Linked DNA regions of Mus musculus. The protein of the gene in region 2 purifies or fractionates together with the protein of the main gene of each other region. This does not show direct contact. Links are inferred from orthologs where the notes say so. Each region holds a gene or a part of one and is shown on either strand. Other genes may lie near its edges. The genes, in order: Zmynd8, Tspyl1 and Ddx24.

Evidence for each region.
Region 1: the proteins of Tspyl1 (region 2) and Zmynd8 purify together in Homo sapiens (affinity purification with mass spectrometry; 4 studies listed by BioGRID and IntAct, counting the BioPlex papers as one, with this or other methods). This does not show direct contact. The link is inferred for Mus musculus from reciprocal best matches to the Homo sapiens genes TSPYL1 and ZMYND8.
Region 3: the proteins of Tspyl1 (region 2) and Ddx24 purify together in Homo sapiens (affinity purification with mass spectrometry; 3 studies listed by BioGRID and IntAct, counting the BioPlex papers as one, with this or other methods). This does not show direct contact. The link is inferred for Mus musculus from reciprocal best matches to the Homo sapiens genes TSPYL1 and DDX24.

Annotation. Positions count from the first base shown.
Region 1 is NC_000068.7:165,783,716-165,787,363, reverse strand, and holds the end of Zmynd8 (protein kinase C-binding protein 1), read left to right. Parts: intron 1-116; coding exon 117-200; intron 201-1,625; coding exon 1,626-1,774; 3' UTR 1,775-3,212; downstream 3,213-3,648. UniProt on the Homo sapiens protein: Chromatin reader that recognizes dual histone modifications such as histone H3.1 dimethylated at 'Lys-36' and histone H4 acetylated at 'Lys-16' (H3.1K36me2-H4K16ac) and histone H3 methylated at 'Lys-4' and histone H4 acetylated at 'Lys-14' (H3K4me1-H3K14ac).
Region 2 is NC_000076.6:34,281,338-34,285,032, forward strand, and holds Tspyl1 (testis-specific Y-encoded-like protein 1), read left to right. Parts: upstream 1-852; 5' UTR 853-943; coding exon 944-2,083; 3' UTR 2,084-3,548; downstream 3,549-3,695.
Region 3 is NC_000078.6:103,408,816-103,412,463, reverse strand, and holds part of Ddx24 (ATP-dependent RNA helicase DDX24), read left to right. Parts: intron 1-1,146; coding exon 1,147-1,335; intron 1,336-2,406; coding exon 2,407-2,536; intron 2,537-3,648. UniProt on the Homo sapiens protein: ATP-dependent RNA helicase that plays a role in various aspects of RNA metabolism including pre-mRNA splicing and is thereby involved in different biological processes such as cell cycle regulation or innate immunity.

The DNA.
Region 1 (3,648 bases), on a different chromosome or scaffold from region 2:
AAGCACATCCAGTCGAGTGGCCTACATGAAGGAACAGCTAGCCATGGGTGTCGGCCCCTGGGGTTGTGTGCAATTTCAGCTGTGATGGATTCTAAGGCTACCTGTGCTCTCTTCAGTTAGCAAGAGGTGTGACAAGCAGCCTGCCTATACCCCAACCACTACAGACCACCAGCCGCACCCCAACTACCCAGCCCAGAAGTGTAAGTATGACCCTGTCTCAGGGGAGCTGCTGGGAGAGTCACTCCTGGCATGCAGAAGCCATGTTTTGTGTGTCTGTGTGTGTCCGTGTGGGCGTGTCCTGTGCTTTGAGTGTTGGTCTCCCTCTGCTTTGCCGTCGCCGTCGTCTTCTTGTTTGTTCCCCATTGCTGCCTTTGCAAACTGCTGTAGGTTGGGCCATTCAGAGCCTTTGTTTTGTCTTAGCTGGGTACTGCATCTCCCCTGCCGTGGTCTGCCATGTTAGCCAGCATCCTGGGCCCAGTCCTTTAGAGGCTCAGGCTTTGGAATCTCAAGTTCTGTTTCTTTCATATCCCCACTGATCTTGGCTCTTCCCCACAGCTGGAAGGACTTGGTGATGTGCGACTATATCCATGCCACCCCTCAAAGACCTTCTAGAAGATTATATAGCCTAACTGCCAGGAATGTGAGCTCTCAAAGGACCATTTGGAACTCTGATTGTCCTTTTAGAACACTGCCCCCTTCTGGCTGAATATAAAAGCAGCCTGAACTTTTAAATTTTTATTTTATTTTATTTTATTTTATTTTATTTTATTTTATTTTATTTTATTTTTTTGCATGTGCTTTGTGAACAGGCAGTAAGAAGTAAGAAAGACAGTCCCCCAAGGGCAGCAGTGGTCCCTTCTCACTAGCCCTGCTCCATCTTAAGCTTGATGCTCCACAGCTCAGGAAAGTTAGAGAATCTGGGAGCAGCAAAGGGGTCTTAGTGGCCAGCCATTAAGTGTAGGGCCTTAGTGTAGGGCCATTGTCCTCTTCTGTGATAGCGTCTGTGGCTCTTCTGTTAGCTTCCTCTTTGCTTCCTCAGCCACTACCTAACTTGCTGCCCGTGTGACCTCAAAGCCATCCCAGGTGTCCGTTGGGGTCTGTATCCGTCACTGACCCCTAACATGGTCCTTACTGGGAGTCCACGGAGTCAGTGTCCAGGTGGGCTTAGCCATCTCATCTGGTCCTCATTTCTTCTCTTACAATATCTTCCTGGTTTGGATATGAGTCTTATAAATGAATCAGGAGTTCTGTGAGGTCACCACAGATGTCAGATTCTGCGGGTCTTTCTCTAAGAGCCGAGGTCAGAGGCAAGGTGCATGGGCCCCCCGTGGTATAGTCCAGACTCTTAACAGGGCAGGGGTTCCCCGTCGACTGGACACCATCACTCGCTAACCTCACTCTCTGCTAGTGTGACACCTTTTGACCTTTCAGTTAGCTATAGCCCAAAGCCAGCTGCCCTCACTCTGTGTTCTACAGCCACAGCCCTGGGATCTCAGGGGCAGCTGTGGGCGTGGTCCGGTTGGAGTGGGCGTGGTCTGGCTGGAGGGAGGGAAGGTAACTTCCAGCTGGGAGATGAGTTGAGGAAGGTGGGGAGGGGAGTTGAACACACTGCCTTTCCTTCACAGACCATTCCCGGAGCAGCAAGGCAGGTTTGTGGAGCAGCAGCGAGGAGAAGCGAGCGTCATCCCGCTCTGAGCACAGTGGAGGGACCAGCACGAAGAACCTCATGCCCAAAGAGTCCCGGGAGTCTCGGCTAGATGCCTTCTGGGACTAGGGGTGCATTGTGAGCCAGAACACCTCCCTATAGGCGGGAGAAACAGCCCAAACCACAGGAAGCAACAGAAACTGGAGAACCGCCACCTTTAGAATTTCCAACACTCAGGCTCTGCCCGTCGGCTTGGCTGCAGGACAGAGACTTGACTCCATCCCAGCTCTGGTCTTGGCTGGGATGGCACTACCCTGTGAGCCAAACACTTTAGGTGTAAGTAGGTACACTTGTGACGTCACTGACCTAGCGTACCTTTCCTTTTCATATCTACACTGACCTTAACTTATAAAAAAAACAGAAAAGAAAAGCAAGTTTTATATATATACATATATATATAAAGATCTACAATTAAAAGAATGTTTTGATAATCCAGGGGCTGGTTAGTGAGCCCGCTGGCCTCACTGGGGTGTCAGGGCTGGGCCCAGGGATTGCTATTTTCACGTAGGCCCTTGTCCTTGGATACCCAGGGGAGGGAGCCACTGTCGCCGCAGCACACCAGGATTGGGGCTCTCAGGCTGTGCTGCCCTAGACCCGCCACACCAAGCCATCCGCCCCTCACAGACCCTACAAGACGATGTTAGGAAACACATGCTTGCTGGCCTTGAAGGACACAGAGAGAAGTATGTGTGTGTGGTGTGTTTCCAGCTCTGGCTCCCGAAGGGGCAAAGCAGCCTCCTGTTTACAGAAGGTCCACGCGAGCTATCCCCGTGGCGTTACGAATGCAGCCAGCGCCCGGCGTTTGTGCAGGGGTGTCGGGAACGAACGCAGCCAGCGGGCATCTGTGCGTGCGAGGAGACCCCTTCTCTCGGCCAAGTTTTTTCCCATAACACCCACATGGATTTGTGAAGACGTGCTTCTCAGAAGCAAGGACTCAAAAAGCAAAGGTGCACGGCGAGGCCACGAAGCCCACGCCAGCCCGGGGATGGAGCATGTATGTATTATTTATCTGCTGGAGTTCTACGTTTTTATGTAAGCATGAAACACAGGCAGTGTGAGAGAAAGCCAGGACCCGACATGCTGTCCGTTAACGCTACGTCTGCTGTAGTTCCATTTTGTATGTTGTGTAAAGCGAGCATCGATCGAAGCAAAAGGTGATGTGTGTATATCAGAAAAAAGAAATTAACTGTATATCATTCCAGTACATTCCGTTGTACATTTTAGTCTCCGTTTACTTTCTCTTCATTGTTGATAAGAGAATGCCAAGCTGCGCGTTGTTCAGGCAGTTTACCCCTACTAGAGAAGAAAGGAAGAAACGCTAGAAGAAAACAGGAGAGAGAGAAAATTTGTGAATTGCGGTCGTCAAAACAAAACAAAACAAACAAAAAAAAACAATCTAGCCTAGCTGGCCTTATTTGGGAAGCGTAACTGCTTTTAGCATATGGGAGTATTTTTTCACATTTTCTTTGTATAAAATTTGTATTAAACTTAAATATCTTTTTTGATGATGGCGTTTCTTCATGGCTGAACAGCGTCCTCTCGCGGTTATGAGCTTTTGGGTTCTCCCCCCTTTGACATCCCAAGTTTTTCAGGTTCTTAACCCTTTTTAAAAAAAAACTAAACCGTTTTGGCAAAAGGGTTTGGTCATGCCAATCTCCCGTGGGTCAGGGTGTGGCTGTGTCAGGTTTGAATGGCCACAAGAGACAGGTCTCCTGAGGTCCCGGGCACCCTCCCGGGACGTGGGCTGGACTGGGACTTTCTTACCTCCCATGGTAGCTGCAGTCTTCTGAGGCCAGGCTTCATGAGCGCTTCACCTGTGCTAATGCCACCTGAAGTGACTGGTACATCGATCTTTGGCTCTAGGTCAGAAAGTTCATCTTCAAAGGCTGAAGTTTCCCGTGGCCTTCTGGGTAGAGATGCCCATATCTCTGGTCTGGGGCTCA
Region 2 (3,695 bases):
TTTATGCCTATGTCCTAAAGTGACGTCACATCCCGTTCAGAGAACCCGGGAATCAAATGTCCAGGGCTCAAATCATCGCTCTGTCATTTTCTATGTTATTCTGGTAAGAGACCCAGTCTCTCCTTGTCTCAATAAAATGGATATCTTAATACATCAGAGGATTGTTATGCAAACTATTCGATGCCACGGTGCAAGACACACCAGTAAAAACAATCATTAATGATGACCACAAAATCTTTTCCAAAAAGAATAATTCCCAAAGCAAACCCACAGATCTTTGTTCCCCAGTAACGTCAGAGCTTAGAATAGAACTGAGTTTTTATTATTATTTTGAGCCAACGTGTATGCAGCCCAGGTTAGCCTCCAAGTCAACGATCCTCCTCAGCACCAGAGCACTGAGGCGACAGACAAGGGCCATCACACCAAGCTAGACTTCATTATTTTTTTCAGTTCTGTGGTGGTGGTGGTGGTGGTGGTGGTGGTGGTGGTGGTGGTGGGGAACCGTGGCATTCACCTTGGTTAATACAAACATTTGGCTCCTAGCTTTGTCTAATACCAGGAGGTGTTTTTACCGTTCCACATAAGTGGAAAGGGGATGAACTTGTTTGCAGACACAGACACACACACGGCTGCAGCCCGGATGCGGGCGAAGGGTCCAGAAGCCAGGTCCAGAAGCCCCGCCACTGTCTTCAGTCTCCTAGGATGATTGACATCCCTTTACGGAAACAAACGTGACAACCGCTATCCGCTACATTTACAGAAGCCAAACAAATACGGAAGTCACGAGCTGAAGAACCAATCAGGTGCGCTGCAGGTTCTCGCGAGACTTGCGGGCTGTGGCTCTGGCGTCACTGCGCTGGAGAGAGCGAGGGGCGGAGCTGGGGTTGCGGGGGACCGTGAGGGTTGTTGTTTGTAGGCGGAGGTCTGCGCGACTAGACCCGACATGAGCAGCCCGGAGCGGGACGAGGGGACCCCTGTCCCCGACAGCCGCGGCCACTGCGATGCTGACACTGTCTCGGGGACCCCAGACCGGCGACCGCTGCTCGGCGAGGAGAAGGCGGTGACAGGTGAGGGCCGCGCAGGGATCGTGGGGAGCCCCGCGCCCCGAGATGTCGAGGGCCTTGTCCCCCAGATTCGGGTGGCCGCAGCTAGGCAGGGAGAGTCACCTCCTTCCGTTCGGGGCCCCGCGGCAGCGGTGTTCGTGACACCGAAATATGTGGAGAAGGCCCAAGAAACTCGGGGAGCGGAGTCCCAGGCCCGTGACGTGAAGACGGAACCGGGCACCGTCGCGGCTGCAGCGGAAAAGTCAGAAGTGGCCACGCCAGGGAGCGAGGAGGTGATGGAGGTGGAGCAGAAGCCCGCGGGCGAAGAAATGGAGATGCTGGAGGCGAGTGGAGGAGTGAGGGAGGCGCCGGAGGAGGCAGGGCCCTGGCACCTGGGCATAGATCTTCGCAGGAACCCGCTGGAGGCCATCCAGCTGGAACTGGACACTGTGAATGCTCAGGCCGACAGGGCCTTCCAACATCTGGAGCAGAAGTTTGGGCGAATGCGACGACACTACCTGGAACGGAGGAACTACATCATTCAGAATATCCCAGGCTTCTGGATGACTGCCTTCCGGAACCACCCTCAGTTGTCCGCCATGATTAGGGGTCGGGATGCAGAGATGTTAAGGTACGTAACCAGTCTGGAGGTGAAGGAACTGAGACACCCTAAGACTGGCTGCAAATTCAAGTTCTTTTTTCGAAGAAACCCCTACTTCAGAAACAAGCTGATTGTCAAGGAATATGAAGTGAGATCATCTGGTCGAGTGGTGTCTCTTTCCACTCCAATCATTTGGCGGAGAGGGCATGAGCCCCAGTCCTTCATTCGCAGAAACCAAGATCTCATTTGCAGCTTCTTCACCTGGTTCTCGGACCACAGCCTTCCAGAATCTGACAGAATCGCTGAGATTATCAAAGAGGATCTGTGGCCAAACCCACTGCAATACTACCTGTGTCGTGAAGGAATCCGTAGACCCCGACGTCGCCCAATAAGGGAGCCAGTGGAGATTCCCAGGCCTTTTGGCTTCCAGTCAGGTTAATCTTTGCATTTGAAAATGCGGCCGGAACTGGTCCCTTCTCACCTGTGCTTGAGCAAATGCAACGGGTATGCAGTGTTTTGATTTCTTTCCTCCTGACTTTTCTGCATCTTCTATCTGGATAGTCTCCACCTCGAGATTAAGACTGGACATGCTTCTGCTTTCCCATGGCCTTCATGCTGTTCTGAATTAGTATCTGCTGGTTCACGGCCCTGGCTTATACCCTTTCTAAGCTCAACAATGAAACTGTATGTTACACTGCCTTTACACTGTTTGGACCCTATTGTTTTCAGTCTTACCTGTTTACTGCCACCTAGATGTCTTGCTTTAACTGGGGGCCCTTCTATTTATCTGTTCATCATGTGGCAACGTGGACACAGAGTTTTTGGACAGTTGCTGAGCCTAAACATTGAAGGAGTGGGCCACTGTCTGTGTGATTTTTTTTTTTTTTTTTTTTGGCACCACTTTCTAGGTTATATCACACTCCATTGTGTTTGCCAGTGCTCCTCACCCTCACTCTCCCACCTTTCTCCTGCTATTTTAAAGAAAAGTAGTTCAGAAACATCTGTAAGGCCAGGAGTCATTTATACTTAGCATTTCCTGAGAAGATACTCTGTAAAAGAGGAAACAACTCTGCCTTGTCTCCTCTCTTACCCACTCCCCAGCCTGGTTAGCAAGCTCTAAAAAGCTTCCAGGGAGACAGCTAGATGGAAACAGCTGAGCCCTTCCTAATATATGGAAGAACTAAAGAAGTTTTGATGGGTACTCTAAGCAGAAAAAGTGAGCTGAAAAGGCTTAGAATCAAAATAAGTCAGATAAAAATTGGGCTGAGAATGAAGACAGGACACAGCTTACACATCTTGGTCAGTCAGTGGTGATGGGAAGAGAACTAATTTCTCAGGAAAAAATATTTTCTCTGAGTGTTGAATGTTGCCTAGATAGTGCTTCTTTAAAGAAGCAGTGCAAGTTTGAGTTATTTTCCTCTCTTTATATGTGATCTGATATAAGTGAAAGTATAATATTTTGCCCATCTTTTACCAATATTTAGTAAAATGCTACTTGTTTCAACTTACTGAAAAAATTTAAACACTTTTGTTTGCATTTATTTGAAACCATTTGGAATATTGTAAGACAACTCACTCTGTAGACCAGGCTGGTCTTGAACTCAGAAATCCGCCTGCCTTTGCCTCCCAAGTGCTGGGATCAAAGGCGTGCGCCACCACTGCCTGGCTAACAGTAGTCTTTATAATACTGAGACTGAATATTCGTAACAGTTTTCGATATTACTCCAAATTCTTAGAAACGGCTTGGATAATTGGTCTTAATCAAATGTGTCAAATTATTGTTTTCATGGAAAAGTAAATATGTGACTTGATTGTCTTGATATAGTTATAAAAGTACTTTGTCAGCACTGTATATTTGTTGCCATTTTTATGCATGATGGTAAATAAAAGCATGGCATCCTGTTAGATGGCTTTTTTTTTTTTTTAATCCCCAACCTGGCCGTAAACTTGCCTTAATGGGTTTGTATAATTGACAAGATTGTTGAATTATTCAATTCCTTAAACGTACACAATTGACATCCCAGAGGTACCAAGAGTAGTTGTTTCTCCTG
Region 3 (3,648 bases), on a different chromosome or scaffold from region 2:
TTACTTAAGCAGGAGCAAGAAGAGGACTTGGCTGGGAAAGGAGTAGGTGAGTAGTGCTGAGCCAGCAGAGTCAGTTGGGAGCGGGTGGCTGGAGGCTAGAGAGTCATGGGAGGAATCATGGTAAACGGTTCATAGCGACACTGAGCCTGCTGCACTTCATTCGTGGCGGATGCTACAGGCGTCAGGGAAGAGGAGCACCAGTACCCGTGCCATGCTGTTTGTGGACAGCATGCCTACTATATAGGTTGTCCTGGGTTAACCTGCTCTGAATCCTGGCTCCCACATTGAGTTAGATTACCTAGAGGAAGTGGTGGATCTGAGTGAGCGTTCGTTTCCTGTAATATGTTGACAGTGATAAAGTATTTTATATGTCTAGGATAATATTGTCTTCTTTACATTTCTGTTGCTGTGGTAAAACAGTATGACCAAGGCAGCTTAGAGAAGAAACAGTTTATTTGTCTCATGGTTCCAGAGGTTGTGAGCTCCTGACAAGAGAGGAGAGCTAACAGGGGGGAAGTAGGTGGAGCAGCAGCTGAGATCTGTTGCAAATATGAAGCAAAGAGGGTACGCTGGAAATGGGACCCAGCTTTTGTGAGCTCAGAGCCTGCCACCAGTGACTCTTCAGCAAGGAGATACCTCCTAGGCCTCAAAAAACAAAACAAAAACAAAAAAGCCAGTTGCCAGTTGGGACCAAGTATTCAAATGCCTGAAACTTAACAGGGAACATCTCATTCAGACCACCACATACGAAGTGTTTTGCAGTTGGTTGTCCTAGAGCAGTCACTCGGTAACTGTGGGTTATAAATGTACTGTCATCGGTCATGCAGAGCTGAAGAATATGTGGAGATTCAGAATGACAGTATTGGTCACAAGAGGAGTGAGAGTGGAGAAGATGAAAGAAAAGCAGATAAACAGATTGAGTGTGAAGAGCTGAACAGTTGTGGAGGCTGTAGTGGGGCAGAGCCTGCACAGTAGCTAGACTGTTAACTTAGGGGCAGTCTATGTGTCAGAATGAAGGGCTAAGTTTTTCCACAGAGTAGGGAGATTGGTGTCCTGCAGAAAACAGAGCCAGTTTCGGGGTGTGCCCCGAGGGCAAGAGCAGTGTGGACCTTGTCCATGTGCTGATCCTCACTGCTGCTTTGGCAGGTGCCTCGCACCTCAGAGATTTACATCCACCGAAGTGGTCGGACTGCCCGCGCTGCCAGTGAAGGCCTCAGCTTGATGCTGATTGGGCCTGAGGATGTGATCAACTTCAAGAAGATCTACAAAACTCTCCAGAAAGATGAGGACATCCCACTGTTTCCAGTGCAGTCCAAGTACATGGATGTGGTCAAGGTAAAAGTTAAACTCCACTGCACTGCCTCCTCACAGAGCACCTTACTCTGAGACCAGAAGTTATCCTAGGGGATTGAGAAATGGTTCTGCCGATGGCTAGGCAGTGGCTTTTGTTAAGAGGCTGGAAGTGCCAAGCCTGGGAGAAAAGCAGAAAGGGGGAGTGACCAGAGAAGTGTGTTTTGTCCCTTAATCACTCTGATATCTGGTCCTGAAATCTGCACCTGCTTCTGCTTCAGTAGACAGCTCAGTGAGCTCAGCCATAGACATTGTCAGAGAGCTGTGAACAGCAAGGTAAATGCTGAAGGCTTAGTGTGCCCTAAAGCAGGGACAGTAAAACTTGCTGTCTACGTTTGTATTAACTCAGGAGCATTCACTGTGATTCCTGTGTACCCCGGGCCCCAGTGTATCAGGGACTAATATGGGGTAGTTTTCCCGAGGCTCACCAGTGTATGTATAGGGTAAGCCCACGGCACGCTGAGGTGTCCAGGGAGCACTGGGCCTGAGAGGTGTGTGGTTGCGATGGGAGCAGAGCCTTCGTCCTACTACAGAGATAAAGAAGGGTGAAGAGAAGATGGTTACTACGGGCATTGGGGGTGTGAAGACAAGGGGCAGTTTAAGGGTGTGTCACCACTTGGGCAAGAGCGTTGATTGTGTAAGGATTTAGATGGGGCTGGTAGAGGTGGGATTATAGAGAATTCCTGTTAAGGCTGCTGGGAGCAACTCCATTTTCGTGCTTATTCCCATTGCACATGCTCTCTCCATGTCAGGATGAGCAGGGCATTGTGTCACTGCAGAGTGACCTCAAGACCCACGAGAAAGAGGAGACAAGATCACTCTGGGCCACATAGAAGTTAGCACCTGAGACAGAGCTGTAAGGAGATTCGGTCAGGCTTCTGTGGCTGTGATGGTCACCTGGGCTGTTAGCAGGAACCTGGGCAAGGGTTTCAGTAGAATCTGCATTGTTTCTCACTCGTCACTGATCACATTACAGCTTAAGAACTGCTTCAGTAAAGTTTGCTGAGAGGCCCAGACTCTTGATCAGATGAATATTTTGTGTTACTGCCCCCTTAGGAGCGGATCCGTCTAGCCCGACAGATTGAAAAAGCTGAATACCGGAACTTCCAGGCTTGTCTGCACAACTCATGGATTGAGCAGGCGGCAGCAGCCCTAGAGATTGAGCTAGAAGAAGAGATGTACAAAGGTGCGCCTGGGCAGGGCGATTGCTTTCTTTTAGCTTTTACCTGGTTGAGACCATCCTTATTTCTGTGATCCCAGCAGGAGCAGCAAGGTTCCCTTTTCTTGTCCTATGGCTGCTGCTTCTGTATGGGCCAGATACCTTGGGCCTTTCTTGTCTGTCTGACAGCCTCATGGACAGCCCTTGGACTCCATGACTAGGAACAGATCACAAGCAGGGTATCCTTGTTAATGCAGCCTGTCCTTTACTGTATGATTAGCCGCCTGCTGTGCCTTTTCGTTCATGTATAAGACAGGTAATAAACTCCGTACCTCCCAACAAGGTTGAGTAAAGGAGACTAAACTCGATCCACTTATGCTTGAAAACTAAAAGTATATGGCACTGCTAAGTCGTCATTTATCATGGTAGTTAATGTTGAACAGCACAGCACCTTCATGTCTCATTTATAACTTCTCCAGGTTCTGGGCATGAGTTGAGTGGGAGCGATTGTCCTTTTACATGAGGGATAAAGAGATAGAGGAGTGCACAGAGCCAGGCAGTGGTAGACTTGCCTTTAATCCCAGGAGGGACAGGTAGATTTCTGTGAGTTCAAGGCCAGCCTTGTCTACAGAGCTAGTTTCAGGACAGCCAGATCTACATAGACAACCTTATCTCAAAAAAACCAAAACCAAAACAAAACAAAAAAAGGTTCACAGAGAGAAGGAATTTGTACATCAGAACAGCTCTACCACCAGGCATTGCCTAAACCTTCTTCTGTCTGTGGGCCAGAAGCCCAGAAAGAGACCAGGAGTGAGGGGCTGCATGGCCCTGCATAGTAAAGCTGAAAACTGCATCTGGGGCCTATGACAGCAGTTATAGCTGGTGCCCCTTCTTCCATACCAGGAGTGCAGTTTAACTGAGGTGTTGACTTCTCAGTACCCACTGAGCAAGTTCCCAGGCAGACTGCTGCTCAGTGTAGGAGCCAGGAGTTTGCCAACAGTGTGTTCCTCCTTGTAGCTCAGGTCTGGGGCTCAAGTAGAGATGTGAGCCTCTACCTTTCCTTGCTGAGGTCAGGCATGGGCGGGGACTTGGGCTGTGTCCACCTCTGCATGTACTCACAGCATTGGTGAGCTAACTGG